4 linked regions of the Oryzias latipes genome follow. The protein of the gene in region 2 purifies or fractionates together with the protein of the main gene of each other region. This does not show direct contact. Links are inferred from orthologs where the notes say so. Each region holds a gene or a part of one and is shown on either strand. Other genes may lie near its edges. The genes, in order: nup107, seh1l, nup85 and nup98.

Region 1 (5,821 bases), on a different chromosome or scaffold from region 2:
AATCCACCCCAGCTCTGATCATTTTTCCACAGATGCCCAGCAGCCAGAGGCATCGCTGAGAAAGACGGGGTTGTTGCAGTGACCTAAGACAGAACATCCATCCCAACCACAACCAGCAGCTTTTATGGGCAGCTTTGTGCAAAAGTCAGATCAGGTCAGGAGAGAAAACCGATGCGGAACAACCGAACCGGATCAAACGCTCCACCTAATCTGATCCTCTGCTAATAATCCTAGGATTAACCTGATTTATGGGGTCCAGTTCTTTATTTAGTAACCAAACCTTTGAGCACGCATAGGTGTTCGTTTATTTTTTTATTTTAAAAACCCAGTTATTAATAAACAGTTTTTGGGTAACGTTGAAATAAGAGTAAATATCGGAAATAACTCTTAAAGCTTTCATTAAAAATCTTTCAATTAAAAAAAGATACCACGTTCTTTAAACACTAGAAGAAAAGTTTAAGACATTAAACCAACATAACGTATACATATCTGATGTGGGTATAGATTTTTTGCCTTTTTTACTAACGTTTAAATGATAAAGTTTGTGAAACGTAGCCTACTTTACCTTAGGAGAACAACAGTCAGATTTACACAGAAGCGAATGCAGACTGGATAGTGAGCCACCTAGTGGTTACACTGTAAACTGCGTCGGTGTTTTCCTGCTTTACAGAGTTTTTGTTCATTTATTCTCAACAAAACAGCAGAAATATATAACATGACACTCCAGACATTAAACAACACAACCTGTTAACCTTCCTCTATGCTTAAAATCAGCAAATTGACAACAATCTGCCTCTTCAATGCATCACACCATGGTGCCTCTGAAACGTCAGCGGGTGGAAAAATCTTCAGGAAAACTTCTAAAAGAACCTTTTACTGGGAACCACCTCCAGAACAGTTTGTGAGCGAATCTACATAAACACATTCACAAAAATATGAGAGGTTTTTCTCTGCATTCGTTCAATTGACGGTCTCCTCAGACCGTTTCAGGACTCAGAACCTCCATGAAAACCCTTTCATGAAGTCTGTGATTCTCCAGGTTGATACAGAAACGTGTACCGGTTATTGCATACCTGGTACTCCTTCTCCTTCATCTCATTGGCCACTCTTTCCGTGAACTTGACCTCGGGGGCGGGCACCGGCTTCTGGGGTGGAGAGCTGCTGTGGCTGAACCAGTCAGTGAAGGCCTCGTGGGCTTCCTGTCAGAAACAATCACATCCTGTTGGTCTGCCTAACACAAATACACAAAGAGGTCTTCTGCAGGCATGACAGACCAGGTAGGCTCTGATGCACAGGTGCTCCCTGACGGCGTTCTCGCCCTCGGCGGGTAAAGGCGTGGTCTGACCAACCCCCGTCCACTGGGAGTAAATCTCCCTCATTGAGTCTTCTGGGACCTTGGAGAACACGGCTTTGGCTGCATCGTGTTTCTGCAGAGCTGAAAGGCAGGAAGCGGCCTCAAAAGGCGGGAATCCATGTGACGGGGCGTCAAGATTTAATAAAGTTACCCAGAAACTTCCTCATGATGGCGTTGGACTGCTTAAGGGCCTCAGCGCGGTGGGCGGGGTCAAACAGCAGCCAATCGATGACGTCAATCTTCTTTTGGTCCTCCTATCAGAGAGCAGATTCACATTTGGAGCTTTTTATGTTGGGCAGTTTTAACCTCAGAGATTAATGATGACCTTTGAGTTTCTGATGTCTAATCAGTTATTTACCAGAATGGATTTGTGGCGGCTTTTCTTTTGGTTTTATCTCCATAGCAACACTTATTTTCTGGTTGCCTCTGGGCGGCACAACTCTGTAGTTTTTAGAAGAATCTGAAAAAACTAAACTTTTGGATTTTCTTGGCCACTGAGGTTTTCTGTTAACCACAGCCACATTCCTAATATGATCATATCGAATGTCATATTCCATAGGAACGATTCGCCTATTACTTCTTCACAACATTCTGATTAAAAATGTGCATTTTCCCCTCAAGTAGCTTCCCAGCGACGCTTGGAGTCGTGAGGCCGCATACAGAAATCTCCATGGGAAGTTTAGATTTCTAGCTGGTACGAAAAGGCCATTTTTATGGATAATTCAAGATGGCGGCCTCTCGCCGAGGTCAGAAACTTCAGCTGTGGCTGTGCCGGTATGTCAGTGGAATTCTGTGTAGATCGTTTGAGCAAACGTTTTCCATATTCTGCGAAAATGTAAAAATGTCTGCTTTTTAAAAAAAAATGGATTCTCCCAGCGTGATGTCATTATTGGGGGCGGGCCTTAAACATGTCAATAATTACCTTGCATAAGGTGCTGGGGGTGAGATTTTTCCCTCAAAGGCACAGTAAAAACAGAAGAATTGCTAAAACAATCTGGTAATATTGAAAATAATAAAAAAACTAAGAACATATTTTTTATTTTGTGTTCATTTTTGTGCGTTTCTACCTTCGTGGTTCCAGTTTCCAGCGCCTGACTGTGATGCGTGAACTCCGTCTCATCGTGTTCTCGGACCGTTTCCACCACCAGCTTGGTTATGGCGGAGACGTCCAACCCCGCCTCCCTGGCGAGCTGCAGGCATTGCGGCCGCAGCTCCGGCTGCGTGACCGTCTCTAAGAAAGCGGCGTACTGAGCGGTGGCAAGCTCGGCGGGAAGCTGGCCCACGTAGCTCGCCACCAGGTCGTTGTGCTGGTCCCGGATGAGGAGGGAGACGTACGCCTTCAGCACGTCAACGCACACCTCCTCCTGACAAACACAGGTGAGGTCATCTCAACGACGCCACTAGAAACGACTTAGAAAGACGCCGACAAGTTTACCTTCAAAGCCAAACCCAGAGAGCGGAAAAACAGCACCAGGTGAGTCATGAAACGCAGCAGGTGGAAGGGGAGGGGCTTTGAGGCCGTCAGCCAATCGGAAAACTCCTCCAAAAGACCTGATGGAGACAGAAGCAGACTAAGCTAACATCATCCGTAGCATCATCAGGTCCAGAGGGGCGGCGGCCTTACCGTCCAGGTCTTCTAGAATGATGAACTTCTGGATGACGTGGTAGTGTTCTTTAGTCTCATCCAGGACCCTCTAATCCCACAGAAGAAAGAGAAAACGGATTATGATCTTCAAGGTTTCACTTAATGGTCATTTGAACAGAGTCTGACCTTTGATTCTGAAGCTTGGAGCTCCTCAAACACCTTTTCCATGGTCCAGCTGAAGACAGAAGGACAGTAAATGACAGGAGGGGTTTCACCACATTCACCTGCTTCACTTCTATGACTGTTGATTGACACTTGGGCGATGTGAAGGTCAACCGTTCACAGGGACGATTCTTACCGTTTCATAGATTAGGTCTGAATGGTTTTAATGTGTACGTTTTTTGCACTAATATGTATTTTAATCGCCGTCATTGAAACCTGTATTTAGAAAGGCAGATCACAATCAACAAAACAAATAAAAGTTCAACGATTTAGAAAGAAAGAAATGTTTTTTATCCCTTAATTCAATCTCCCACTCAACTGTTTTGCGTCAACTTCCTGGTTGACTTCAGCAGCAAACAAAACATTAGCTTCATTAGCTGTGTTTTTAAAATTCTGAAAATGTTGGAAAAACACAATTTCACAATAACACTTTTTTCATTAAATCATAATTATGTGAATAAACACAAACCAAGTCACACGATAAGTCGTTCAAAAACATGGATGTGAACAATCCTTTGATTGACAGCAGATACTTTCACATTTCTGCTCTAGCGCTCATCATCATCTACCAAAGGAGACGTCGGCGTCTTCTTCAGGCCATGGAGCGGCGAGCTCCTTACACGTGGGAGGGGCTACGGATGAAGTCATTTTGGGAAATGGTGGTTGGTGGTTTTCCAGGGGATCTGTGGGACGTCTGGTGGCGCCCGCTGTGCAGCAACCATGGCCGTCAGTGGAATTTAAATGTTGATCAAATGACTATTTTAATTTAAAAAAAAAGTGTTTCCATTGCAATTTAGCAAGAAAAAAATGTTTTTTTTTTAATTTTTTTAAACTTATTTCACTAAACCGAACTTCAGTCTTGTTGTTTTTTTTTTGTTTTTTTTAATCTCCAAAAACACTTTGATACTTTTACTTTGAAAAAAATAACCTTCACTGAAGATGCATTTACTTCCTGTGACAGCAGTGCATTTGGTTTGTTTAGTTTATATACCTAAAGTTCAGCGTTATTCAGCAGTTTACAGCCATTACTATATTCTTTGAAGTTAATTTTACTATATTTTATTTATAAAGATTACAATTCAGCATCTCGGACGCCAGAAATATTTGTACTTGTTTTTAGTGGATCAGATCGTGAGTATCCGGATACTCGTTCCAGCCCTGGAGGATTCATACTTGGCCTCCAGATATTCCCGCGGGAGCGTCTCCACCTCCTGGTGGGCCATGCCCGACGACAGCAGGTCCTTCTCCACCAGCGAGTCCACCGTCACTCTGAAGTACGCCCAAACGCAGTCCTCCCACGACTCGCACACAGCCAGAAGCTGACAAAAAACAAAGACTTAAAGACTCAGAATCAGAGCGACCAAACCCCACCCACTGGTTCACGCACCGGTCTGAGGTTCCCGCTCAGGCTGGCGTAGATGGCTCGCTCATATCGGTTCAGCTGCTCCTGAAACACAAACGGCAGCATATTTAAAGCTTCTCTGCTTTCCTGTCACGTCAGGAGCCGGTTTCTTCCTGATGCCGACCTCCTCAGCCAGCCTCCAGCAGCACGCCTTCCAGACCCCCCTCTGTGGGTTTCCCTCCACGGGCTGCAGCTCCGACCCGCCTGCAGGGAGAAGACAGACCGTCGTCTTCAGAACAAACACAGGAGGACAGGAGCTAATCTTTCTGCATGAGACGACGGCGGAGCTGCTGTTTCAATGAGATGACAGCCATTTAGTTCATAAAACTGCAAATAAAGTAACAAACGGAAGCAAATTGAAAATCCACCTGATGACGTGACAAAGTGGGCGTGGCTTTTTGAAACAAACTTGCTTCAAAACAGGAAACGTTTAGGATTCTTAAAATCCGTCAGCATTCGAATCAATAGAATCATGTTTCTATCAAATTTCACTTTTATCCGTGCCTAAATCATGTTTCACCTTTTGCGGTGTAGCAGATTCTTTAACTGCAATTCTGTGTGATTTTAATCTGTACATCCCGTGTCTCCTGTACAGATTGTGTTTTATTTGTCAAATCTACCCAAATCTTCGATCAGATCTTTTCTACAATCCTGGATTTATTTTCTTTTTTAACTTTGAGAGTTTAATAGACAACAGAGTGTGTTTATTAGTGTCAACAGTGTGAAGTGAGGAGTTTTTCAGCCTCAAAACATCTAGAATTGTTAAACAAAAGAATAGAGAAGACCACATGGCATATTTAGTGTATGCTGGGTTATTTTTAACTCCTGTGAGGATACCTGAAGTCATGTTGGGGTCGTGGTAGAGCTTCCAGCCTTCCAGCGTGGCCGCTCTCCAGGCCTGACCACAGCGTTTACACAACCTCTGAGCCTACACACACACAAACGCACACATTGTTAGCATTTCTCATCACCCTATTCCAGCGTAAAAGCTGTGGATCAGGTTGAATAAAGTTCATAGTGTCTGTATCATTAGATGACTTCCTAGGTTCTTCTGTTTAGGGCTGAAACGATTTCTCGAGTTACTCGATTACAAAAATTCCTCGAGACAAAATCTCTGCCTCGAAGCCTTGTTAAATTCCTGACGCGCACTATACGCGCGGCGCAGGGATTTGATGGTGTCACACGGACCGTTTATTCACACCGACCTTTTGAATTTAGTTGGCGCGATGGCGGAGAATAGATCTATAAATAAACGGCA
Region 2 (6,497 bases):
GTGAGCCCACACGAAGCAGTCAGGCTTTAACGAGGGGGTGTGGCCGCAGATGCACCACGCCACCTACCTTCCTGCTGATATCCCATTCAGAGCATTCTGGGAGAGGAGGGAAGAGCCCACCATGGTGCTGATGGGCTGACCTGAAGACGCGCTCAGCGGGCTGCCGTCTCCCCTTAGGATGCCGGTGCACTTCCAGTTGTCCATGTAGTTTGCTGCAGAGCATTCATGCAGAGGACAGCTTAGGGAAGAACTGCGGACACCTTCAATACACCAAAAGCTGCATTCACCTCAAACACGATTCACACATGAAGGGCATCCAGTTCAATGCCAATATACAGTCCTGATCTGAGGTCCTACAGTGCCACATGAGCATCTGGAATGTTACATCGATCTGGCGGCAGCATAAATTTGGGTGTGATGAGGCATCAAAAATCTAAAGCGAAGAATTCACGCCATGTCAACCAATCAGGGGCTCAGCTTTGGCACATGACGTGTTAATGTCAGCAAGTGGAGCCTAAAACCAACATGGAGGAGAATCTCATCGGTCTCCTCCTGAACTTTATATTTTTCTTTTTACTTTTAAGACAATAACAGAAATGTCCTCTAGTTTGATTAATGCTGGACAGCAAGTGGTCAAACTGGGTCACAGAGAGGTGGAAGAACCGCTGAAAGCAGCAGGCATTCAGACGCAGCTCCTGCAGTAGACGGTGAAGCTCTACGTACTGGAGGAGTCTCTGAATGATCCGATAAACCCAGACATGGAGATGTGATTACTAGGGGTTGACGGAAAATTTATTTAGCGATACGTCGCGATATTTCATTTGGCGATATTTGTATCGATTCAAAATGCTGTCCAGGACGACATTTTTTTTACCGTACTTTCACGACCATAAAGTGGACTTAAAAGTCTCACATTTTCTCCAAACTATAGGGGCGCACTATGAGGCGGTGCGCCTAATGCGTAGCTGTGAGGCGTAGAAGAAGACGGGGAGGGAAGTAGGGGTTTGAACAATATTGTGTAGTGACCTAACTGGAGCTTCACTCTGTATGCGGTGGTAACGACTGAGCTGCCAATCTACTGGCTGCGTTGAGAAGCTGTACATACACTTCCCAACCCCAAACAATTCAAGTCGAGTCGAGGAGCGGTGAAATCCATGTTTACTTCAGCGTGGGCAGTACTGATCCGTTACAGTGATCCCTCGCTATAACACGGTTTACTTTTCACGGTTTCGCTACTTCACAGATTTGCATGGTTCATTGTGTTCTGCATTCTGATTGGCTAAAAAGTCACTCTGCTTCTTCTCTAACTGTGCGTCAATGACGTTGCAGTTTAATATGTACACGTACATAAAACAGCTTGCCAAATTTACATTATGTACGTGCAAATTCTCTTGCAATTTCGAGTTTCTCTAAAACCCATAGAAAAAAGAGAAACAACATCTTCCTATCACTATGTTCTTTCCCCCAAACAAACACAGCTGCACCGCGGGCTTCAAAAGAAGAAAACACTGCAGAGCGGAGTCAGGATGCAGCGGCTCAGTCTGCAGAGCAGTGAAATACACCTGAGTCACTATTTGTCCGACTGTACTTTGTATTTTATTCATAATCATTTTAAAATTTTCTCCCGTTTAATCCAATTACTTGGGTCATGGGGGTGGGGCTAATCTCCGCAATTTGAAGCCTTCTGTTCACATCGATGATTAAAATTATTATTTGACAGTACAGTACAGAAGTTATTTGTTGAAAAAAAAACGTTTCTAAAGTACTTTTATTTGTGAAACAAATGCTTGAGCCTGTAAAATGGTTTGTTATTTCTTTTCAATGTATAATAGACTATTTAATTATATAATAATTGTAAAAAAATTAAAGGTTTCTACTTCACAGATTTTGCCTATCACGGGTTCTTTTTGGAACGTAACCCCCGCGAAAAACAAGGGTTTACTGTACATTTCTTTTTCCTACCATGTTTTACCCCCATTAACATTAAAATAAATGTTAACATGCAGTACATTTTGTGAAACATTTAAGAGCTTATCATCATTTAATATTTAAAGACATACTCTGACCGTAAAATGCTTTTATGTATTTTGCGCACATGCGTTGACACATCAGGTAGCGAGAGTAGAGCTCTTCAAAATAAACTGACTTGATCTCTCAACTTCTGTGTCGTCCATGTATTGTAAACGACAAATACAGTCAATGCTTTCATGTAGAAGACGCATGAGGCAAATAAACATTAGCTCCTCCCACATGCGTCACAATTATGAACCTATTTTTGGACAGGTAGCCAGCAGCGAATCCGACATTTGTTCCAGTTGAAGCGGCCAACGCAAATTTGTGAGCGCAGCATTAGAGGTCCAACACTGAACCTCCAGAGGAGGCCATGTTTCTATTAATCATGTACCCATCTCAGGAAAATAAGAAAACGGTCGCTGCACTGCAGACGATTGCCGACAGACGGCAGCCGTCTGTGTTCCTGCTGAAGGTGGACCAGCTTCTTACCCTTCCATAACCGCACGCAGCCATCGTCCCCAGAGGAAGCCAGCAGGGTGCTTGTGATGTTCCAGCTCACACGCCACACCTGGGAGTTGTGATTGTCGAACTGCGCAACAATCTGCACCTCAAACTTGCTGGGTCCGGTGGATGAGCTCTCCTTCCTGTTCCAGAGAACCAAGACACATTTTCTGTTCATTTTCTTCCTCCTTTTATTTCAAAAGCTGTGTGCTTCGAGAAATGCACCAGAACACATGATGATGACAATCACCTCATGGGGGCAAGCTTGAATATTCTGACATCTTTTGTTGCAATAGCGAGAACATGGAAAGATCTCCCCAGGTTGGGAGCGAACGCGATGTCGTGGACTGCGTCGGTGACAGTCATCAGAGTCTCCACTTTGCCGTATTTCCTTTAGAAGAAACAGGAAGTGTCAGGAGGCCGCTGCATCTCTGGCCGCTGTGTGCTGAACACGCTCACCGTGTGTTTTCGTTGTACTCATAGATCTGAACCTTCCCACCGCTCGCGATGTTGCTGTCATCACTGCCCACGGCAAACATGGAAGGGTGAGCCCGTGAGCTGGGAGAGAATGATGAGATGAGATGATTCAGCAGAAATCCGCCGCTCCTGCCTTCACTCCGACCTGTCATCAGGCAGTGGCGCAGACGTGCTCTTCGTTTGTGTGTAATGCCATGTGGAAACTTAGAATGACACTCTGTGCCCAGCTTCACAGACACATGGAGCAGAACTGAACCTCCATCAAACTTATGGTCTGGTCAGCTCATCCAGAATATGAAAAAGCTATATAACCTGGAGGGGTTCCATGAAATGCAGCTGCAGCTGAGCTTGCATGAGATCTCGTGTTGCAGCGACCACTGGCTCAGGTTCATCACATCCGGAGCTTCGTAGATCCTCACCACGCCGTCCGCAGAGCAGGTGGTCAGCATCAGACCCATGTGTTTAGGAGCAAACTTCACATCGGTCACTGATGTCCTACTGTCCACAAGTGTGGTCCTCTTAATCTGGAATGGAGAAGCAAGAAACACTCACATGACCTCCACCTGCTGCAGGTTGTCGCTGCAACTGCCCGCTCCCAACCCAGCACTGACCCAGTGGCTCAAGCCTCTCTGCTTGTCGTTGGATTCTCCTACAATCTCCTCCCAAACCGCAGCGGTTCGGTCAAAGGAGCAGGAGGCCAAAACCTGCCCGAACTCTGGATGAGCCCAGGTCACTCTCCACACTGAGCCGCTGTGTGTCTGCAGAGAGAAACCAGGAGGAGGAGGCTCACATCTGTTCAGCACAGAAGGTGGAGTTCGGCGTGAGGATGGAGGCGTTTTACCTTCCAGCTGGCTGTGCAGAGCCACTCTCCACTCTCGCTTTTGTCCCAAACCTCAGAAAAACAAACAGAGCTCTGAATGTGACACATGGCCGCGCGGCAGCCCGGGAACGGTTCATCACAGTCGAGGACCGCGGGCGCGAGCTCAGAGGCTAACGTTAGCTTACCTTCACACTCTGGTCACTGGAGCAAGTCGCCATTCTCCGGCCGTGAAAGTCGTACGACACATCGTGAATTAGATCTTTGTGATCCGCCGCGATACTACGAGCCACAAACATGATCCCGGTAGCAGCGCGCCGCCAGCGATAGCTTCACCAGCGCGTTAGCAGGCCTACCGCAGAAATCATCCAGCTTTGAGACCTGCTTTTTTTGTTTAACTTTATTGTACAAAACGGAAGTACAATACAAAACACAATTTTACAAAATAAACTTCAGGTATGCCAGGGGAGCATTCATATTACATGCATTTTACATAAAAACATTCAGGTTTCTACAACTTTCATATAAACATACAGCTTTCTGATTAAGACTTTTGGAGATGTTACTGATATACATTTCAATTTGTTTGATTAACAAGGGGAAAAAATAGAAGATGAAGGAAATTTACGTTTATGAATATAAAATTTGCCAAAAATAATAATAAGATTAATTATGAGTTTTTTATTAGAGGCCAAGTTTTTATTATGAAAACCAAATATGATATATTCATACTTCAGAGTAAAGTTGGGGTGGATTTGTTTTTCAATAAATTGTAAACTTCTAATCTCAGTAAAATTCCAAAAAAGCGGTTAATTGTTTCTTTGCAATAAGGACAATTAGGATCAATTGTTTTAATGTATCTTATCATGAATTGATTGGTGGGGTAAATTCTGTGAATTATTTTAAGAGAAACTTCTTTCATTTTATTACTTATCATAAGTTTGTGGGTCACACTCCAGGCTTTCCTCCAAATACTTTCAGGAACAAAACGTCTTAAAGGAATTTAGGAACTTGTGAGGAATTTAGGCAGAAGTTGAGGCAGGTCCTGGGTGGTCAGGATGAGCTTCCAGAGGACTGGGAAACTACAGCAGAGATTATCAGGGAAACAGGTAGGAAGGTGCTAGGTGTGTCATCTGGAAAGAGGAAAGACGGTAAAGAGACTTGGTGGTGGAATGAGGAAGTACAGGAATGCGTCCAGAGGAAGAGGTTGGCTAAAAGGAAGTGGGATGTAGAAAGGACTGAGGAAGGTAGACAGGAGTACAAGGAAGCGCAGCGTAGAGTGAAGAGAGAGGTGGCAAAGGCCAAACAGAAATCTTACGATGAGCTATATGACAGGTTAGACACAAAGGAAGGAGAGAAGGACTTGTACAGGCTAGCCAGACAGAGAGACAGAGATGGGAAGGACGTGCAACAGATAAGGGTGATTAAGGACAGAGATGGAAAGGTGCTAACAACCCAAGAGAGTGTACAGAAAAGATGGAAGGAGTATTTTGAGGAGCTGATGAACGAGGAAAATGACAGGGAAAGAAGGGAGGAAGATGTGGTTGTTGTGGAGCAGGAAGTAGCAGAGATTGGAAAGGATGAGGTTAGGAAGGCTCTGAAAAGGATGAAGAGCGGAAAGGCCGTTGGTCCTGATGACGTACCTGTGGAGGTATGGAAGTGCCTAGGAGAGACAGCAGTGGAATTTCTAACAAGGTTGTTCAATAGGATTCTAGAGAGTGAGAAGATGCCTGAGGAATGGAGGAGAAGCGTTCTGGTCCCGATCTTTAAGAACAAGGGTGACATGCAGAACTGCAGCAACTATAGAGGAATAAAGTTGATGAGCCACACAATGAAGCTGTGGGAAAGAGTAGTGGAAGCCAGGCTTAGGAAGAAGGTGGAGATCTGTGAGCAGCAGTATGGTTTCATGCCCCGTAAGAGCACCACTGATGCCATTTTTGCTTTGAGAATGTTGATGGAAAAGTACAGAGAAGGTCAGAAGGAGCTGCATTGTGTGTTCGTAGATTTAGAGAAGGCGTATGACAGGGTGCCGAGGGAGGAGCTGTGGTACTGTATGAGGTCGTCTGGAGTGGCAGAGAAGTATGTCAGAGTAGTTCAGGACATGTATGAGAGAAGTATGACGGTGGTGAGATGTGCTGTAGGTCAGACAGAGGAGTTCAAGGTGGAGGTGGGACTACACCAAGGATCAGCTTTGAGTCCTTTTTTGTTTGCTATGCTGATGGACAGGCTGACAGACGAGGTAAGACAGGAATCTCCCTGGACAATGATGTTTGCGGATGACATTGTAATTTGCAGTGAGAGTAGAGAGCAGGTGGAGGAACAGCTAGAGAGGTGGAGGTTTGCTCTGGAAAGAAGAGGTATGAAGGTCAGTCGTAGTAAGACAGAATACATGTGTCTGAACGAGAGGGATCAAGGTAGAAGCGTTAGGTTACAGGGGACTGAGGTGAAGAAGGTGCAGGAGTTTAAGTACTTGGGGTCAACAGTTCAGTGTGATGGGGAGTGTGGAAAAGAGGTGAGGAGGCGAGTGCAGGCAGGTTGGAGCGGTTGGAGGAAAGTGTCAGGAGTGTTGTGTGACAGAAAAGTGCCAGCAAGACTCAAAGGAAAGGTGTACAAGACAGTGGTGAGACCAGCTCTGCTCTATGGGTTAGAGACGGTAGCAGTGAGACAGAGACAAGAGGCTGAGATGGAG
Region 3 (5,458 bases), on a different chromosome or scaffold from region 2:
TGTCCCCTTGCCACCCACCCCTCCAGGGCAGTTCAGGCAGAGGTGCAGACATTTCTCTCAGCAACGTCCACGTTCCTTTGGAGGCCATCAAACCCAGTGAGAACAACAAAGATGCCAAGCATAGAAGTATATCATTTCTTAAGCCTAATTGTTAATTTTTGTCTGCTTTTAGGTAAAGTCTTACCTGTTACTGCCTATGATAAAGATGGGGTTCGTGTGCTCATCAACTTTGCGTCAGATTCTCCTCCTGGGAGGCCTGACGTGTTGGTGATGGTGGTGTCCATGCTCAACACAGCACCCATGCCTGTTCACAATGTTGTCCTGCAAGCTGCTGTGCCAAAGGTGATGAGAGAATCAACTAGAGCCTCAGAAACCTTCAACAACTCACACTGTGTCTGTTTTAATCTTCTGCTAGTCAATGAAGGTAAAGCTGCAGCCTCCATCGGGAGCTGAACTGGCCCCTTTCAACCCCATCCTGCCTCCCGCCTCCATCACTCAGATCATGCTGCTGGCCAACCCAGCAAAGGTGGGTAACACAAAGAGGAAGCCGTGACCAAAGGCAAACTTTCATCCTATAGAAACAAGAGTTTCTGTCCCCACAGGAAAAGGTGCGCCTGCGCTACAAGCTGTCTTTCACACTTGGAGAGCGTCTGTACTACGAAGTAGGAGAGGTGAACCATTTCCCCCCACCAGAAACATGGGGACACCTATAGCAGAGTGGTGCTGTGAATAATCCACACTCATTGAAAGGGTGTTTGTGGGCTCCCTTCATTCCAGACAAAGATGAAAAGATGTCCATTTTTTAGCTTTACATTTCTAATATGTGTTCATTTTTTCTCAGTGTTATTAGCACTGTGGGGTTAAAAGAATCCTTTGTGCAGTTATAAAACTAAATAAAAATGCTAAAATCCAGAAACTTCTAAAAGAGGTTTTCCAGAGATAAATCTGAGCCTTGAATGCATCTGAAAGCAGAGTTTGAAGACTGTCAGACTGAAAGTTTAGAACCAATGTTTGCAATATTTTTTCCTGTAAAATGTTTACATACCTGTAGACATGTGAAAGTTCTTAAAAGTACAAATAATGTGTCATATTGTTTCAGGAAAATATTCAACCAGAATGCATTTCTTTCTAGATTCTCCAGGGTTCAACTAGCTGTTGTTGCTAGCTCAATGAATTCACTGCTTCAGATTGAGCCATTTAAACTCAGTTGTTTGTTTTTTTTAAATATTTTTATTTTATGAAATGTGAGGGGAAAGTGATTTCATTTGTTAGAGCCTTAGCCTGGAATGAAAGCACTGATTTTCCTCCCATTGTTGGTATATGTTCAGGTATATGTTCATGTGCGTTTTTAAATCACTGAATTTTGGTTTGCTCTGTTTTTTGGCAGTTTGAAAGGTTTTATTTTGAGACTGAAATATTTTACTGTGCAGTTTGGCAGTGAATGCATCTTGTAACATGAGCAGAATTTGTCCAACACACGTTTTCTTAGGATATCAAAATGTGAGAGCAAAAGGGTATCGAGTCATGTTGGAGCGGATGTACAGAAGTGTGTTTGATGTAAATATTGTGAGATGTGTCTGTTTACTGTAAATTATGGAAATGTAATGTGCCATCTGTCTGCTGCTTGAAAATAAAAGAGTATTGATGTTTGATATTCCCCTTTTGAAGTACATCATTATGAATAAAAAAGCTGATTTAGGTTGAGAATTTTTTTATTATCAAAAGTCACAAAAGTTATTGGATTTTATGTACATCATGGAAAAGAATGAGGGGGTGTACTTCATGTTTCCACCGTTCCCTCTTTGACTATGGCCATTGCCAAGTTTCTTGATAGCGCGAGTCTCAGGAGCTCCACTTTGGTCAACTCTACATCTTCCTCCTAAACGAATATAGATATAATAAAGTGTTTAAATCAACTTCCCATTCACAAATCCAGTATATTTCTTCAAAAACAAAGTTTCAAACATTTAGAGATGTACATTTTACAGGGAATAAAAGCTGCTTTACAAAGCCAAACAGGGAAAAACTCTTACTTTGAAAGGTTACATGAAAGTTTCAGAGGCTGGAAAGGATGAAATTCGTACCTGCATGGATTTGTCCGAGTCTGAAGATGGAGTGTTCAGTGAGGAAGTGAGCTCCTCTAAACAGAACATCAACTCATAGGTTTGGTCCGCTGAGAAGATCACCTTTATAAAAAATAAATAAACCAATAAAAACATTTAAAAAGGCGCTTTTGTCAATATCTTATAGCTTTTCTTGCATCAAAATGCAACAATCTACAGCTTGGTGCTTAAGGCTGCTAAATACCAACAATGTCATTAGGAAATGATTTTTGATTCACAAAATAACGAAACAAAAGCTCATGGGATAATTTAAAAGAGTGTGTTACAAACAAAAATATTCAAATACTTCATGATTTTACAGACAGAAAATTCCTATATTGAATTTTATATGTGATAGAATAAAAAAACACAGTTTGAAACTTCTAAAAGATTCGAAACTGAAAGTGGAAAAAAAGATTTGAAACTCAAATTGAGTTTTGAAACTTAAAAACAGAAAATTTGAAGGTGAAAATAATTATGTTTCTATTAGAATTGCAGAAAGTTTCGGACACTTTAATTTTTTTTTAGCTTAACACCAATATTTTAGCTTGAATTTTCAAGTTGTTTTATTTGGGTTTGAAATCTTAATGGCCCTGATTTGGCTCCATACAACTTAACATTTGAAGAAAACTTTGGCTGAAAATCTCAGTTGGGTTTTATTCTTTGTTTAGTGTAAAAACTGCTCCACAAAAGCTGGAAACTTGATGTTAGCTGACCTCTTTCTGCTCCAGCAGAGGCAGCGCATCAGTCAGCAAGGTCATCCAGAAGCTCCGAGGAGCAATCTTGGCCGTCATGAGGGAGAGGAGCAGCTTTGCAGCCTCCTTGAAGCGCTTCTCCCCGTAAAGCTTGTGAAACTCGCGGTACTTCCCTAAACAAGCAGACAAACGTTATCCACAATTACCTAGAAATGAAAAATAAAATGCTGTTGCCCAATGAGTATTCATAGGTTCTGCAGGAGGAGGAACAACAATTCAAGTGTATTTTAAGTGTGTACCAAGAAAAGTCAGCCTGTCGCTTAGCAGCATGGCTGGACCCAAGTTGTCGATCAAATCCAGATCAGAAAAGGTCCCTTTGGCGCAGTAATCCTGTAAAAATCTGACACAAAAACAGAAAGATGTCAATTTGTTTTATTTCCCCAAACAGTAGGGGTGTAACGGTACACGTAGTCGGACTGAACCGTTTCGGTACGGCAATTTTTGTTTGGATCACTTTTGCAGCGTTTCGGTTTTACGTTTTTTTTTGTTCTGCCTCCGGCGTAGAGGATCTCCTCTGGGTTTTCCGATTACGCCTCAGAAACCTCATTGCAGGAGGTTCAACAGCCATTAGGTGACGGAGTTGACAGTGAGCGTGTCAACAGTATCATGCAGACGCGAGGCCAGAGCTGAAGGACCCCCCCCCCATTTCTCCTTACGCTCTTGTGTGTGGGAAAAGACAACTGGATAAGTCGAATGCTGCGTTTCGACATTTTATTGTTACATGAAGATAGCATATGCCACAGATAATGCATCTAATATGTTAACGCAATTAAAAAAGGTAAGAAATGTTTTTTTTTCAGGCCAGTGTTAAAATCCAAAGTTCTTGGTTCCTGACAGCTAATAGTTGTATTATTTTATGTAGCAGATCACCTACATAGATTAATTTTATTATTGTTATATAAAACCAATCAACGCATTTTGCAAGAATTTTTTTTCTGTCTTTTTGTACCAAAAAAACAAACAGAAAATATATCAAACCGAGCCCTATGAAATTCTGAACCGAACCGAATTGAGATTTTTGTGTACCGTTACACCCCTACCAAACAGTGATGTCTTTTTAGGTTTAGAATACACAATAAAGGTTGACAAAAATACAACAAATTAAACAGAGCTTTGAGAACCATTTGTGATTTAACTGATTTACATCTAAAAGCTGAGAAAAAAGGAGGGAAAACTTGAATAACTCTGCGGCTCAGAAAAACGTCCATTTCTGGACGTCTGGTGAAGCTAAAAGTTAAATGTACAGAACAATGATCAAAGACAAAGGTGCAGATTGTAAAGAGAAGCCAACCTTTCAGAGATGAGGGTGGCAAACGCTGCATCTTTGGCTCTGATGCTCCAGGAAAGGGCGGAGCCAAGTCTGTTGTTTCTTAAGGCCCTCATGGCCATGATTTTACAGATACTCCGTACTGGATCACAAACAAAAAACACATTTCAAATGCCAAACTCAACGAAAGAAAGTTCAACTTGAATGGTATTTCTGGAACCAAGGTGATTACAGAATAAAGAGTCTTTTAGAACCTTGCTCCGACATCTGCCTCTGTTCACAAATGCGGAGGACCTTCAGTGCTTTCCGCTCCGTGTCTAAGGGAACGCGCTCAATCTGGAGCTCAAGGTAGACACGACCAAACTCGAGGCAGTGATCGAAGTAATCCACAGCCAACTGCCACAGACTGATCAACAGACAAACAAAAAGACATCCTTTAAGGGAAAACCTTCACAGAAAAATTCAAATAATTAAAAGGAGGACTTAAAAAACAAACCAACCTGTGATGAGTGAAGAGGCCAGAGGCATATTCCAACAGGAGGAATTCTCTTAAATTGGAACCAAAGCTGCAAAAACACAGAAAAACACTGAATAAAAGAAGTCCTAACCTCCAGACTAAAAAACTAAATCTGCACACAGGGTTCTTACTGTAGATTGTGAGACTGGAGGAGTTTGCAGTGATCCAGCAGGTCTGTCAGATGAGCCACAAACCACCAGTTGTTGAGAGCGATGCTGAGGCAAAAGGAAGAAATTGAATGTTTAAAGTAGATTTAAAATAAGTGTACTTGCATGCATCAGTCCCATTGTTGCACCTGCAGTCCTTAATAACTTGATGGATGTCAAACTCAAAGGCAGCCAGCAAGATGCTGTCCAGAGGTTCTGGTGCGCTCCTTGAGTCCAGAAACATGGTCATACACGACTGCAAAACACACAGGTACACTTAATATCTGGATGCAGCAGACATGAGTGCAAGTTTTGTAGAATAGTTCACCTGTGCATAGTAGTGCAACTCAGTGGGCTTTACAGTGGGATGACAGAACAGCAGTCTTGAGACAAGGAAGTGATACCAGGTTCCCAGGAGGTCTTTGTGCTCCAGTAAAGTGTCTTCATCACCCAGGAGGATCTAAAAAATAAAGAACAGAAATTATTGAAACATTTTATATCATATAGTTGAAACATTTGCACCAATTTATTAATCTGGTGCTGCTAAATGACTAAAATGTATTTTGGTGCCAGATTAGAAATTAAAACACACATTTAATATCCCAGAAATTGCCTACAGTGAAGCATGGCGGCGATAGCTTCATAATTTGAGCATGCATCATATCAGCCCA
Region 4 (5,604 bases), on a different chromosome or scaffold from region 2:
TCCATCCACTCAGATGTTGCTGTGTCGTCATCCATCAGCAGAACTTTGACAAGAACATTTTCAGGATTTGCTGTAAAATGATCCAAAGCAACAGAAACATTTGGGTTTTGTTTACTCCTGAAGTTAACCAGGAAGATGACAGTTTGAGTGAGACATTGTTTTAAGTCAACACCTTATTTTTCCTAAATCTTTTCATTTTCATCTTTTATGTTTTGTTGATTTTGATCTGCTGTTCTAGAGAAAGGTAGAACTGATGGTGATTAAATAGATTTTAATTTGTTTTCATCCAGTAATAAGAGTAAGAATCGCGGTTCGATCTGCAAATTGTTGATCTTGATTCGTGAAGTGATCCACGGCTCTACTGATGAGCCTCAGACAGAAACTGGAACAAAGAGGGAACGTGACCCTACGACCCACTAGCGAGAGCAGAGAGCCGTTTGGACGGTTCAGGAGAGGAACTTGAGTGTTGAACAGAACGAAGCTTCAGTCAGAGCTGCTGGTGTTCAGAGAAGCCTTTAAACTCTATGCTTGCACGTCTGTAGGTTAACAGAGGTCCATCAAGAGTTCTCCCTCCTTCATCAGGTTCCTCAGCGACATTACTGCTGCTAAACTCAGCATCTGTCTCCACCTGCTGGAAGCTTTGCAGATGAAGACCGATGCTGGAACCTGTTGGTTCTAAGAACCCTCGGCATCTGTTTCAGCAAAAGCATGATGGAAGATGTGGCCTGCAGATGGCAGCACTATTGTGGTTCCACTTCCTGTGGCAGTGGTTCACGAATGATATTGGATGTAAATCTTTTTTTATTGTAAAATCAGTAAAGGAGTTTTTGTGGAATCTGGACCGTTGTTGTGGTTCTGTGCAGTAAATGTTTGCAGAAATTCCTCCCAATTTGGGTCACTTCATTTGAACTCCGCTCCAAACATCAGCTCACCCACCTGAGGCCAGGTGTTGGATCAGCAGTCGGTGGCACTGGTTCCAGGAGCCGGCCCGGTACAGGTGCAGGGCCTGCTGGTGTCTGTCGCAGTGCCGATGGGCTCGGGTGGCCTTTGCCAGGTGGATCCACGGCTCTGGGACCAGCAGCTGCTCGGTCAGGAAGCGTTCCCTCTGCAGGGACTGGTCCGACTCCTCCAGGGGGCAGTGCTGGCTCAGCACGTGCCTGACGGCGCGCTCGCGCTCACTGAGGACGCAGAGCGTTTAGTCAGAGCTTCCTACAAAAGCCACTGCAGCGGCTGCGTTTCCAGTTTGCGTGCACGTGCGGTCGGACACCTACGCGTGGTCGGGGATGTGCAGCAGGATGTAGACGGCCATGTGCCAGAGGCCGGCGCTCTCCAGCTGTGCGGCGTAGCTGGCGTGGAGGAGTCCCTGCCGCGCGGCGCTCAGGTGACTGAAGTTCAGCGCCTGCAGGACGCCCCACAGGTGCCAGCTGAGCCGGAAATCCAGGCGCTGCCAGGTAACGGTCAGAGGCTCCAGCAGCTGCTGCAGGCCGTAGTGTCTGTGGGGGTGGGGGGGTTAGAGGGTGAATGGGACTCAGACTCCAGTCAGGTGAGGCTTACCTGTCGCTGTAGAGCTTCAGCAGGTGGAAGCACAGATCGTACAATGGACGATTAGACTCTTCCTCCTCCTCCTCCTCCTCCTCATCAAAATGTTTTGCCTCCAAGTAGGGGGGGAGGGGGGCGCAGGAGTACTTCCCCCCCTCGGCTGAACCCTGCAGGAACAGCAGAGTGAGTTGACCTGCGGGAGGAACGGAAACGTTGCAGGTCAGCAGCAACTCACCTGGAAGGCAGCTTCGTACTTGGCGAGGGCGTCGGCCACGGACGCCGTGGGGGGCAGCATGTACCAGAGGTGGAGAGCCACGCAGCGCTTCCAGTCGAGCTGTGAGCACACGTTCACCACAGAGTCCGAGGACTGCCACACCTGCAGGGAGAATCTGCGCTCAGAAGACCAGAGTCTGGGCTGCAGGGTTTTCCAAAGGCGGAGCGCGTACCGGTTTTCCGGCGAGCAGAGCGTAGATGCGAAGCCGTTCCTCCGTCAGGTAGCAGTCCGTATGAGTGCGGCTCCAGTCGGCGAGCTGCAGTCCCAGCAGGTCGCGGCACATCTGAGAGCCGGCGGCCTGAGAAAGCAGCAGGGACAGACGGTGGTCTCCTGCAAACAAACAGGCGTAAGCCCCGTGTTCTCCTGCTGGTCCAGCTATGAAGGGTTACGGTTAGTCTGGAGCGTGAAGCCTCCTCATTATGGTCTAAAACCATAACGACAACAGGTTCAAGCAAAGCTGGACTTGACCAAGTCAAAACCATCCAGACCTCCTTAGGACTCAACCAATCATCGGACAGGCCGATATTTGTTATTTTGACATATGACGGCATCAGGATTTCTTTTATTTTATTTTTATAAATCAGACGAGCTGATTTTGAACCAATTATTTTGGCTCAGGATCTAAAACCAAAACACATTACACCCCTGCCCTGAATGGTGGTGGAGGGAGTATTTTTACGTATAACAGTTTTGCTAAACATAAGGATTTATTTTTCGTCCCATTACATTCCCCCAGGCTTAGTTTTACCACAGAGGTTTTTCTTCTTTTTTTCCCTTGCATAATAAAGCTTTATTTTTAGTTTTTTTTTGTTGCTTTGGATAAACTGCATTGAAACCACACAAAACCAAAATAGAGGTTTCCCCTATAGTTGGGAAAGGTAATCATTGCATTTCTAGTTTGAAGGATCCCTCAAACACAGCGGAGGGGAAAGGTTTTCTGGTGTGGAGAAGCTGTGCAGATGGTTCATAGGTCGTCTAAAGAAACCCAGAAAACTCTCCTGTAGTGATGAGGACCAGGCCTGTGCCTTTGACCATAATGTCTTTTACCACTGTCAATCATAAGTTGAAAAATGAAAGACTGCCCTCCCCGTACTGAGAAAGAAGCGAACAAAACTGTGCTCTACTACTAATAATAATCAGCATTGACCCTCAAAAACCACATCGGACGATGTCTATTCCTTAGTGCTCTTTCTGGCGGCGGTTCGTCTGTGGTTCTGGCTCTGCAGGTTCTGCTGAACTCACCTTCTTTCTGGGCGAGTCGACATGCCTCGCTGATTCGGTTTCCTGTCAGGTAACTGAAGATGGCGTCTGCGTGGCAACCCTTTCCTGCCACAGACACCTCCTCCTCCACCCTGTGGGTGGCGCCGGACGACAGCCAGGCGGAGAAGCTCCTCCTCCTGGCAAGTTGCTGCTCATACTGGCTGGGCATCTCAGCATCAGCTTCCACGTCTGCAGGGCCCAGGCGGCCCCACAGGGCCTCACACAGAGTCCAGACCTCAGCCCAGTGACCCAGGAGGGCTGCAGGGGGACAGAGGGTCAGATGGAGCATTGTAGGAGGCGGAGCCTTTCTACAGCTGTGACATTGTCACTCACGCTCTGCGCCGCCTTCTTTCTCCACCAGCTCTGTGATCCACTCGGCGTAAGCGTGCAGCGCGTCCACACCGGGCCGTGGCTTCACTAGAGGACAGTCGGACCCGTCTGGAACACTGACAGTGCTGTACTTCAGGCTGATTTCCAGGGGGCGTTGCAGCACGGTCTGGTCCTCGTCGTCCTCACTGGTCTTACCCTGAAGAGGATCTAGACCCACCAGCTGCTCAAGAACCACCTTGTACGGACTTTCTGTCAAACTGAAACCAAACATCAGGATTTGGAGTCACAAAGATGTCTTTGCTCTCTTCAGCGCTCTGTGGGAACCGGCGCCCTCCAGAAAAGACTATTTAATGTTTCCACAGTTTGGTGTTTTCTCCTGCTGTTATTTTCAGGTTAAAGCTACGTGGCGTGTGACCCAAATGTAGCCCATTACTAGCCCATGTTGCCACCTACAGTTGGAAGAGGCTTGTTGCAAAAAGTGGGCAAATCTGGTCAGTCTTGCTCCAGGCTTTTTCTTTCTTACATATCTGAAAGACTTGGCATCAGAATTCGGAGCAACCACAAACCACAATTATTAATTTCTCCTCTTCTGTGAATTAAAAAGGACATCAACCAAATTTGAAACCCTGGTTGGTCATATATGGTTATATTTTTAACGTTTGTTCGATGGTTTTGTATGTAAAGGCTGAAAACGGTCTTAAGCATGAACACAAGAGATTGGAACGCTGAAACGCGCATTTACGTGCGCTTACATAGACTTTTCTTTGGAGGTGGAGGCTTGATCACGCAATGCTGAGGGCGAGGTGAACACAGCTGAAGACTTCTCAGTTCAAACGAGAAAAATAGCTAAATCTATTCTGCATAAAGGAGTTTCTGCATTTTTGCTTGTCATTTCGACAGTTTCCCATAATGCTTAGCGTCAGCGTCGAACAGGATCAGGATTTGTGCACAGCAGTGAGTCGACAGCAGCTTAAAGATGAGGGACAAGCAGCCTTACGGTTTGGTCCGGGCAGCCTTTGGCAGGAAGCTGAAGTCGGCCAGGCACAGGTCTCTGCTTGCCCCTGGTTCAGATGTCGGAGAGCTGAGTCTGCTGCCGCAGTGGGCCAGCGTCCAGCCGGGACCCCAGCCCACCCTGAAGGAGCGGCCAGCAAATAGCCCCGCGTCCATCAGCAGGCCTCCCTGTACAGAGAAGACACAGATGACGCTCCTCCCCAGCACCTCCTCTTAGGCGTCCTCCATGAAGTACAGGTACCCACCTTCCCCTGAGTGACGGACTCTTTCAGAGGGACAGGTCCGTCCAAGCGGCGCACTCCGACCGTCCTGATTGGGGGCTCTGTCGTTCGAGGGGGGAGCATAAAAGAGGAGGGGCCCAGGCCTTTCCACTGCACTGAGCGGGGGGGTTCCGGTCCCACTGGAGACGCTCGAGGGGGAGGGCGGAGCGACTCAGAGAGCTGACCAGTAGAGAAGCGAGTCTGGAAGAGTCCACCAACTGCAGAGAGAAAAGGATCAGACCCAGGGCGCCAGCAGAACCAACCCTGGGAGGGCGGGGTGTAGCTCTTACCAGAGGGTCGACTCAGAGATGCTGGCATGGCGAGGCGTGGAGATGAGATGTCAGCGGAAACCTTCATCCCACCCTGATGCTGGAAAAGGTCTCCCTCATCTTCATCCTCAGCAAACAGAGATGCCTTCATGATCTGCAGACAAACATCCACCCTCAGAACAAACCCACCATGTCACCGTGGCAACAATCCCCCTGCTCCTCCTAGAAAACCGGTGAGTTTTTCCTTTGAACGGCAACATGATCTACGTAGTCATGGTAACCCATCATTCTGGCATTAATCTCCATGGGCGTCTGACGATGGCCTGTTTTTTGATGAAAAGGGGTTCAAATCATTGATTTCTGGATCCAGACTTTTATTAGTCAGCTCTGCTTCTTTTCCAGTGAGGAGGCGTCAGGCCAACAGCCCAACGTCCAGCTGACGCAGCAGCAGAAGAAAACTAATGAGTGAAGATAAACTACTTTGAACCAAAACTTGAGACCTGTTAATGCCGTTTCCTGATTATTGGTCAGGATAACGCTTTAGTCACATCTGGGTTCAAACCTGCGGCCTCTTTGGCACTAGAGCCAAAGGCGGACCGTGGGAGAGGCGTCCTGACCGGCCTGTGGCTGTACCTGCAGGGTGTGCGGGTTGATCCCCATG

Evidence for each region.
Region 1: the proteins of seh1l (region 2) and nup107 purify together in Homo sapiens (affinity purification with mass spectrometry; 5 studies listed by BioGRID and IntAct, with this or other methods). This does not show direct contact. The link is inferred for Oryzias latipes from reciprocal best matches to the Homo sapiens genes SEH1L and NUP107.
Region 3: the proteins of seh1l (region 2) and nup85 purify together in Homo sapiens (affinity purification with western blotting; 4 studies listed by BioGRID and IntAct, with this or other methods). This does not show direct contact. The link is inferred for Oryzias latipes from reciprocal best matches to the Homo sapiens genes SEH1L and NUP85.
Region 4: the proteins of seh1l (region 2) and nup98 fractionate together in Homo sapiens (co-fractionation; 3 studies listed by BioGRID and IntAct, with this or other methods). This does not show direct contact. The link is inferred for Oryzias latipes from reciprocal best matches to the Homo sapiens genes SEH1L and NUP98.

The regions. Positions count from the first base shown.
Region 1 is NC_019881.2:22,222,367-22,228,187, forward strand, and holds part of nup107 (nuclear pore complex protein Nup107), read right to left. Parts: intron 5,492-5,821; coding exon 5,401-5,491; intron 4,768-5,400; coding exon 4,688-4,767; intron 4,609-4,687; coding exon 4,549-4,608; intron 4,481-4,548; coding exon 4,335-4,480; intron 3,175-4,334; coding exon 3,126-3,174; intron 3,049-3,125; coding exon 2,979-3,048; intron 2,906-2,978; coding exon 2,790-2,905; intron 2,719-2,789; coding exon 2,422-2,718; intron 1,609-2,421; coding exon 1,506-1,608; intron 1,436-1,505; coding exon 1,275-1,435; intron 1,200-1,274; coding exon 1,074-1,199; intron 1-1,073. UniProt on the Homo sapiens protein: Plays a role in the nuclear pore complex (NPC) assembly and/or maintenance. Required for the assembly of peripheral proteins into the NPC. May anchor NUP62 to the NPC. Involved in nephrogenesis.
Region 2 is NC_019874.2:7,223,174-7,229,670, reverse strand, and holds the start of seh1l (nucleoporin SEH1), read right to left. Parts: upstream 4,222-6,497; 5' UTR 4,108-4,221; coding exon 3,997-4,107; intron 3,884-3,996; coding exon 3,833-3,883; intron 3,750-3,832; coding exon 3,603-3,749; intron 3,516-3,602; coding exon 3,304-3,515; intron 3,073-3,303; coding exon 2,974-3,072; intron 2,906-2,973; coding exon 2,765-2,905; intron 2,658-2,764; coding exon 2,503-2,657; intron 213-2,502; coding exon 68-212; intron 1-67. UniProt on the Homo sapiens protein: Component of the Nup107-160 subcomplex of the nuclear pore complex (NPC). The Nup107-160 subcomplex is required for the assembly of a functional NPC.
Region 3 is NC_019866.2:13,013,201-13,018,658, forward strand, and holds the end of nup85 (nuclear pore complex protein Nup85), read right to left. Parts: intron 5,248-5,458; coding exon 5,116-5,247; intron 5,044-5,115; coding exon 4,937-5,043; intron 4,857-4,936; coding exon 4,773-4,856; intron 4,691-4,772; coding exon 4,625-4,690; intron 4,531-4,624; coding exon 4,379-4,530; intron 4,267-4,378; coding exon 4,149-4,266; intron 3,198-4,148; coding exon 3,097-3,197; intron 2,971-3,096; coding exon 2,819-2,970; intron 2,187-2,818; coding exon 2,085-2,186; intron 1,880-2,084; coding exon 1,781-1,879; 3' UTR 1,695-1,780; downstream 1-1,694. Other genes in the region: ADP-ribosylation factor-binding protein GGA3, read left to right, coding at 1-96, 173-342, 416-526, 603-713. UniProt on the Homo sapiens protein: Essential component of the nuclear pore complex (NPC) that seems to be required for NPC assembly and maintenance. As part of the NPC Nup107-160 subcomplex plays a role in RNA export and in tethering NUP96/Nup98 and NUP153 to the nucleus.
Region 4 is NC_019872.2:23,867,817-23,873,420, forward strand, and holds part of nup98 (nuclear pore complex protein Nup98-Nup96), read right to left. Parts: coding exon 5,577-5,604; intron 5,098-5,576; coding exon 4,965-5,097; intron 4,893-4,964; coding exon 4,660-4,892; intron 4,583-4,659; coding exon 4,401-4,582; intron 3,661-4,400; coding exon 3,407-3,660; intron 3,332-3,406; coding exon 3,056-3,331; intron 2,144-3,055; coding exon 1,986-2,143; intron 1,916-1,985; coding exon 1,775-1,915; intron 1,707-1,774; coding exon 1,555-1,706; intron 1,494-1,554; coding exon 1,272-1,493; intron 1,179-1,271; coding exon 937-1,178; intron 1-936. UniProt on the Homo sapiens protein: Plays a role in the nuclear pore complex (NPC) assembly and/or maintenance. NUP98 and NUP96 are involved in the bidirectional transport across the NPC. May anchor NUP153 and TPR to the NPC.